Elephas maximus indicus: one gene and its partner. The main gene of each other region encodes a partner of the protein of the gene in region 2 in a complex. Links are inferred from orthologs where the notes say so. Each region holds a gene or a part of one and is shown on either strand. Other genes may lie near its edges.

The links.
Region 1: the proteins of SIRT3 (region 2) and ACSS1 are in contact, whole or in part, in a crystal structure (PDB 3GLT), measured with the Homo sapiens proteins. The link is inferred for Elephas maximus indicus from reciprocal best matches to the Homo sapiens genes SIRT3 and ACSS1. Residues at the interface, in NP_036371.1 of Homo sapiens: Gly145, Ala146, Gly147, Thr150, Pro151, Asp156, Phe157, Arg158, Ser159, Glu177, Phe180, Gln228, Asn229, Ile230, His248, Ile291, Val292, Phe293, Phe294, Gly295, Glu296, Pro297, Leu298, Gly319, Thr320, Ser321, Leu322, Glu323, Val324, Glu325; in NP_115890.2 of Homo sapiens: Ser640, Gly641, Lys642, Val643, Met644, Arg645.

Annotation. Positions count from the first base shown.
Region 1 is NC_064843.1:67,868,946-67,872,847, forward strand, and holds the start of ACSS1 (acetyl-coenzyme A synthetase 2-like, mitochondrial), read right to left. Parts: upstream 2,903-3,902; 5' UTR 2,846-2,902; coding exon 2,509-2,845; intron 1-2,508. UniProt on the Homo sapiens protein: Catalyzes the synthesis of acetyl-CoA from short-chain fatty acids. Acetate is the preferred substrate. Can also utilize propionate with a much lower affinity. Provides acetyl-CoA that is utilized mainly for oxidation under ketogenic conditions.
Region 2 is NC_064825.1:137,979,931-137,983,832, reverse strand, and holds the start of SIRT3 (NAD-dependent protein deacetylase sirtuin-3, mitochondrial), read right to left. Parts: upstream 2,415-3,902; 5' UTR 2,391-2,414; coding exon 2,312-2,390; exon of another isoform or gene 1,469-2,311; coding exon of another isoform or gene 1,456-1,468; intron 1-1,455. Other genes in the region: PSMD13 (26S proteasome non-ATPase regulatory subunit 13), read left to right, coding at 2,898-2,992.

The DNA of each region.
Region 1 (3,902 bases), on a different chromosome or scaffold from region 2:
TTCAAGGGCCATTTAGGCAGCTGGCTTGCTACCTCCCCCAGGCTGTTCGGACACAGACCCGTGGGTCTCAGCCCTGCTGGAGGCCACACGTAGAGGTCACAGCATCCCCCAGGCCTCATTAATAAATAGCAACCACCAGTTATTGGGTGCTAGTAATGTGCTATGGGCAGTGCTGCGTGCTTTGTGAGCTTTTTCTCCTGTAATCCGAACAATAGCCCTTGAGGCGGGTGTGTTGACACTCTCGTTGATAAGGAAGCTGACTCCAACAGACCAGGTAACCTGTATGTATCAGATTAAGTCAAGCAGGGAGGGTCAGAAGAAGCCTAACAGCTTCTGCCTGGGTCTCTGGGACCTCTCCTCTCCAGCCATGCCCAGGCCCACAGAGAAGCCCCGTGCAGGTGTTTGGATCACAGCTCCAGCTGAACTCAGCCTTCAAGTCCTCCCAGCCCAGTCCCAGCCCAGGCACTAGATGTGCACCTGATTACTCTGGGCACAGATATTCCTGTATTCCTGAAGGCATAATGGGAGTTTCTAGAGTAATGTTTCTTTGGAACAAGCCATGCTGACTTTATCAGCCACGACAGACGTATCAGGCCACACCCCTTTCACAACCTTCTAGCGCGAGCGTGGCACTTCTTCTTATTGCCACCTCTATTTGTAGACACAGGCTGAAAGCAGAGACACTCCTGGCCAGATGAGTGGATGGGCACTATATCTGAGGTGAGAATGCTGCTGAAAAGCTGGTTTCCTATGAGTCAGTTTTCTGAAACTCCATTTCTGGCTCATGTAGCTGTAAAGGCAGCGTCTTTGCAGGGAATAAGTGAAGAAAGAGGGAGGCAGAAGAATTGCTTACTAAACACACTCAGCCCTGACAGAAGGGGCTCCGGGACCTTGCTGTCAGCCTTGTAGGACCTCCCACAGTCTTATCTGAGAGTGCGAGGCTGCAGCTGTGCACCATGAGCCAACCAGGGGTTTCCACGTGGCCCTGGGTCTCCAAGTCGGGGCACTTCCCCCAGGAACTGCACAGTTTCTGCCCTGTTTCTTCTATAAGTTGCTCTTCTCTTCAAGGGCACATTCCACCAACTCTGCAAACCTCAGGGCTTTCTCACCTAGTTCAAGGTCACTTGCTGCTGACTCAATTTTAAAGAAAAAAACTCATTCTGATCAAGTCGGCAAAGTAATACACAATACAAAATAAATAAATAAATCTAGTCAAAGTTTCCCTAAGTTTCTTTGTTTGAAAAGTAGCTGCAAGACACTGCATGTAATTTTATGGCTATTTCTGAGTACAATAAATTTAAGATGCTACATTTTATTGAATGCCAATAGGTACTAGGGCCTGGGCCGGACCTGTCAGACACCTTACAGCCCTCCATCCTCACAGTCAGCCTAGGGGTTAGGCATTATCACCCCCATTTTACACATGAGGAAACTGAGGCAAGGAATAGAATAACTCCCCTCCAAGCTCTGATCTTTGCCAGGACATTAGCCTGGCAAATGAGCACGCCTGCCTAACTCTTATCCCAGTCCTTCAGGAGAGCTCAGCTCCTCCCAACCCCGCCTAGCCCAAGGCCCCTCCTGCCCAGCCCCCAGCCCCACTGGCCACTGAATCCTGTTCAGGGCCTTATCCCCTTGCTGCCTAGGTAGCACCTTAGAGCGGGATGGGGCATGGTGTATGTCTCCTCAACCCCAAATCTTAACAAAAGTCGTGGGTTCCATCTCAGCGAAGGCCAGAGAATGCGACTGGCCAATGGAGCTGCTTTCTGGGACCTCAGGCGACCCGACCTAAAGCAGGCATTGGGGCTCTGAGGACTCAGCAAAGGCTGAAGACTGTAATGGCCCGACGTGCCTTTCTTCCCACACACAGGCCCGGAGCAAGGACAGAACTGATTCCCGCAGCTGGGCCGGAATTTTCTCAGCTCAGGGTCCCGCCACAGCGAAGTTTGTTTACTTGGGCAGGGCTTGTCCCCAAATAGCGACTGCGCACTGCGCTCCAGCTCCGGGTATCAACCAGCAGACTGCCTTTCGTTTTCGCCTCCACCGGGAGACGAGAGCCAGGGAGCCCCAACTCCCGACCGCCCGCACCCACCACGCCAGCTTAACCCAGGTGTCGCCAGCTGCCCCTTGCAGGCTGGCGCTCCACGGCGCTGTCGTGGGACTGTCATTAAACTTCGTAGTCAGCCGACCGAGGAGCCGCCTGGAGCAGCAAAGCCAGCAGCTGGACTCCCAAGCTAACTTCGGCCCTAGCGGGGAACATGGATTTCGGCACAGCGTACAGCCGCCGGTGCTGGAGTCTCTGGGACCGGGTGGGATCCCGATAGAGGGATCACACAGCACCGTGGATTAGGGCGGGTGTGGCAGGATAATTGGAAGGGGCCTTCGGTGGTGCTGCCAAGACACCAGCTGCGATCCGCCTGGCCCAGCGACTGCTGCTGCTGGTGGGGAGCTCTTTGGGCTCATTGAGACGCATGAATTGGGGGCGCCCTAAGCTACCCCCAGCCCACTCACCGGACACGTTTAACTGGCCTCCCAGGAACCAGCCGATCTTGCCACTGCTGAAGTCGCAGTCCCACACTGTGTGGTAGGGGGTGTCCCACACCAGGGTATCCCGCGCTAGCGGCCCCCAGAAGGCGGCCGGCTCCCGGGCCGCCCGCGCGCTCAGTGCCGAGTACGAGCCGGGCTGCGCGGCGGCGGCGGCGGCGGCGGCGGCGGCGCTGCTGGGGCCCCGGGAGGCCGGTCCGCTAGGCGCGCTCGCCAGGCGCAGCGGCCGGACCTGCTGCTCTGAGCGCCCGCGCAGGCTGCGGAGGAGCCGCCCGACGCCGCGGCCCAGGCTGCGCCCCGCCATCCGGTCGCCGTGCGCCCGGAGCCGGTCCCGCCCGCCGCACCCGTCGAAGCCAGCAGAGGCGCCACGAGCCGGGTGAGCCCCTTAGTGTCTTCGCGGGCCCGCCCCCTCTCCGCCCTCCTGGCACCACCCACTCACCGGGGCTCCTGGGGGTCTGAAGGTACCTCCCGCAGCTCGCCCCGGAGAAGATGAGCGCGAAGGGAGTGTGCCTGTGGAGCTGCTGCAGGGGCGCGAGGGCGGAACCGGGTCTTGGCCTGGCAAGACCGCGGTGCGCCCACCTGGTCTGCAATCCGGAACTGACAGTTGAGCCCAGATGTTTTGCTTTCTGTTTGTGCGCCCTTCTTGAAACTCGGGGCGGGGGGGGGGGGGGCTGGGAGGAGGAGGAGGGCTTCGCCAAGCCGGCAACAAGAGAGGTACCGGTGGAGGGGCGCAGGTTCCAGACTGGAGCGAACCGCACAGCTGCGTCCGACAACCAAAGGGCAGTAAGTTCAGCCTCTCAGAGGCTGGAGTCAAAGCATTAATCTATTTGTGCTCCCCTAAGAGTGAACCCCTCACCCCTCTGGGCCTGTAACCCCTCACCCCTCTGGGCCTGTCTGTACCCCCACCACACACACACAGACATGCCCCATGGGATAAATGGACTAACCACGATGCCCTCAGGCCAGGAGGCGGTGGGGCCCCAGGTTCAAGGTCTGGGTCCTGTGTTCATGTCACCCAGCTCCCAGCCCCAGCCCGGCGGAGAAGTGAGGGGTGGGGGTGGGGGTGGGTAGGGTTACCTCCCCCACAGGGGAAGATGTGGCAGAGAAACACCACTCCTGGGAACCTTAAGTGATTTGAGGTGATGGGAATTTTCTCCAATTACTTCAGCATCCTGGTCTGGGTCCAAGCCCTGACTCCACTATTTACTAGCTCTGTGACTTGGTCCTCTCAGTACCTGTTTCCTTTTCTGGAAAACGGATATATACCTCTCTTACAGGGGCGCAGTAAAGGATAAATGAGGTGATGTCTGTAAAACATCTAGCCTGGAACTGGCACACAGGAAGCTGGATATATGGCTATG
Region 2 (3,902 bases):
CAAGAACTGGACCCAGCAGCATTTACCGAGATCCTCTAGAGGCAAGCTGCAGAGCAGAAGAGAAGCTGTCGCCACTATTGAGCGTCTGCTGAGGCACGTCATGCGTAGTCCTCATCTGAGTCACTGACAGACAGATGGACAGGGTTTTACCACCTGCACAGAATGTACTTGGGGTACAGTACTTAAAGTAGACGCTCTATGGTCTGAAACTGCTGGGAGCCGGGGACTGGGGACCCTGAGGTGGGCACAGGTGCTGACTGGGAGATACCGTGAAGAGGGAAACAAGGGGTGATTTCATGTACGAGCCTCAAACTCAAAAGCCAAGGGGCAGAAATTCAAAGGGCTGAAAACCTGTGCAAACTGACAGCTCGTCAGGGCAGCCCCACACCCTGACTCAGGGGAGTACCTCTACAGCAAGTACCCTGCTCTTTCCCCAGCACCTAGAACAAGGGTCTGCCATGGAGTAAGAGTTAAGGAATAGTTTGCTGGCAGGATGAATGACTCCCCAGCATCTTCCTTACAAACTCTTCACTGATATTTTTAGTAACCATGGAAGATGACATTAAGTAACAAGCTTATTTTACTCAAATATTCACTCACTGGTCGTTTAGGTTTGTTTCCAATTTTTAACTCTACAAATAACACTGATTAACAACTCTGGGCCTGAAGATTTTTCCACATGTAGGATCAGTTCCTAGGTAAGATTCCAAGTGTAACCGCTGTGTATAAGGGTATGGACATACACTTGTAGGAGACTAACTGCAGAACCTTTATGGGGTAAGGGGAAACGCTAAAAATGTATATACCTTTAGACGCAGCAGTTTCACTGATAAAAATTCACCTAAAAAGTAGTGTATGAACAAGGTTATTGCTCAGAACTATTTGTAATAACTAAATATTGAAAATCATATCAATAAGGAAATGGTTAATTACAAAAACCCATAGAATGGAATCCTACAGATTAGCATTCAACTGTGTGGATCATAACAAATCATGGGTAACATTGCAAACAAGAGGAATTCCAGAACACTTAATTATGCTCATGAAGAACCTGAACTCAGATCAAGAGGCACTCGTTCAAACAGAACAAGGGGATTCTGCCTGGTTTAAAGTCAGGAAAGGTGTGTGTCAGGGTTGTATCCTTTCACCATACCTATTCACTCTGTACACCAAGCAAATAATCCGAGAAGCTAGACTATATGAAGAAGAACGGGGCATCAGGATTGGAGGAAGACTCATTAACAACCTGCCTTATGCAGATGACAAAACCTTGTTTGCTGAAAGTGAAGTGGACTTGAAGCACTTACTGATGAAGACCAAAGACTACAACCTTCAATATGGACTGCACCTCAACATAAAGAAAGCAAAAATCCTCACAACTGGACCAATGAGCAACATCACGATATAGAGAGAAAAGACTGAAGTTGTCAAGGGTTTCATTTTACTTGGACTTACAATCAACACCCATAGAAGTCGCCGTCAAGAAATCAAAGGACACACTGCATTGGCCACACCTGCTGCAAAAGACTTCTTTGAAGTGTTGAGAAGCAAAGATGTCACCTTGAGGACTAAGGTGCGCCTGACCGAAACCATGGTGTTTTCAATCACCTCATATGCATGTGAAAGCTGGACAAGGAATAAGGACGACTGAAGGGGAATCCATGCCTTTGAATTGTGGTGTTGGCAAAGAATGTCGTCGAATGCACCATGGAGTGCCAAGGGAAGGGACAATCTGCCCAGCAGTAGAGCTGGAACGCTCCTCAGAAGCAAGGACGGCGAGGCTGCATCTGACACACTTCGGGCACGCTGTCAGCAGGGACCAGCCCCTGGAGGAGGACCCCACGCCCGGCACAGCACGAGCCAGCGCCGCAGCGCGGGACTGACAGCGGCTGCAGCGGCGGCTCCAGGCGTCGGCCGTGAGGACGCGCAGGGCCGGGCAGGCTGGGGCTCCGCTGGGCCCGGGCTCGCCGCGAGCGGAAGCCGGCTCCAGGGCGCCTGCCCACGGGCGCCGGCACGAACACACGCGGGGAGCGCCCGGGACGGCGGTGGCTGTGGCTCGGCGCGGAGCCGGCCGGGTACGTTAGGGAGCCGACACCGGCCGGGCCACGCGGACCGCCGCCACGCCCGCGGGACCCCGAGCTCCGGGAGGACGCGCAGGCCGAGGCCGCCCCGCCCGGGACGCAGCGCCCCCGCGGCCTTCGCGCCCGCAGCCACCCCCGCGGGAAGCGCCCGCGAGCCCGAGACGACCGCCCGCCCCGGCCCTCGGGCGGCCCCAGGACGAACTGAGGTCGGCGGCCGCAGGCCCGCTCACCTCCCGCGCCCCAGGGCCTGCGGGCGGGGAGGAACCGCTTCCCCAGCGCGAGCACCGCGCAGCTAGCCCACAGCGCCATCTTCTCCGCGGCCGCCAGCGTCCCGCCCAGCAGCACGTGCCCCGCCCCGCACGTCCGCGCCCGCCCCGCCCACAGCACGCTCTTGCCCCGCCCCGCACGTCCGCGCCCGCCCCGCCCACGGCACGCTCTTGCCCCGCCCCCCACGTCGTGCCGGCCTCCCGGCCCAGCAGCACTTGCCCCGCCCCTCGCGTCCGTGCCCGCCTCCCGGCCCAGCAGCACTTGCCCCGCCGCTTCCCGGCCCAGCAGCACTTGCCCCGCCCCTCACGTCCGAGCCCGCCACGCCCACAGCACGCCCTTGCCCCGCCCCCGCACGTTCGTCCTCCCCTCCAAGGGCGCGCGGTTACCCTAACGATCAGCGACCGCCTAGGGTTGGGCGAAGGCGCTCCCGGCCTGCCCCGCGGGACTCGGCGCCGGAAGTGAGTGAGCAGTTCCGGCGGCCGTCCCCACGGCGCTGACATTTCAGCCGTAGACTTGCTTGTGCCGTTGTACTGGCCTCTCCCTGCCGCCATGAAGGACGTACCGGGCTTCCTACAGCAGAGCCAGAGCTCCGGACCTGGCCAGGCCGCCGTGTGGCACCGTTTGGAGGAGCTGTACACGAAGAAGTGAGCGCCGAACCAAGGGAACCCGAGCCCCCGGGGAGGGGAGAGCAAGGCCGAGGGGCTCCGAGGCGGCGGGCCGGGGACGCCGGGGACGGGGAGGGGGCGTGTGGGAGCAGAGCTTGCCTGGGCGGAGGGCGTCAGGCCGGCCGGTTTGTGTGCGGGCAGTGGGGACCGGCCGAGCCGGGAGGGCGGGCTGGAGCCCCGAGGACGGAGCGAAGGGCAGTGACTGAGGCTTCTCAGCTCTCGGTCCTCTGCTCTTACTGAACGGCTGCCGGTTGGGCGGTGAGTTCAGTTCTGATTTCAGTCAAAGAAGCAGGGTAGCAGACCCTGGTGACTCGTCCTTAGCCTTGTCGTAGTTCGATTTCTCACGGTCTAGAGGCAGGAACGGAGGCCGGTGCAGCTCTGTTCTTTTCCTTTTTGATTCTGCGGCTGGTCACCTGCTGGGGTGCCACCGCCTCCACCCTCCCCGTGGTCCCTACTTTGCATTGCACTTCACGTTAGGCTTTATGTCATTAGAGAGATGTCAGAGTTTTGGTTTGTTTAGAAACAGTGAATTCCAGAACAATTAAATTGTCTGTTGCTAAGCTCCAACCTGTTTTAAAAAGAAAACTAAACTGCTGACGCTGGGCTACAGATGTTCCATAGGAAAACACACCTCCTGTACTAACTTCTCTGATAACAACCCTAAGGGTTTGGTGTCGTGCCTTTCATATAGGCATTCGGTACATGTTTTGATGGTGTCCAGCAGCCTTCTGCTATTAGCAGTTTTTGAAGGAAGTTTACAAGGGTGTGATTCTTAGTGCTTGACCAGTAACTGCGGGTATTTGGTAGCACATGGTACTTTTCAAAGCATTTTAATATGTGTTGTTATTAGCCTTCAGTTTTTGGATGAAATGCACCATGCTACTGTTTT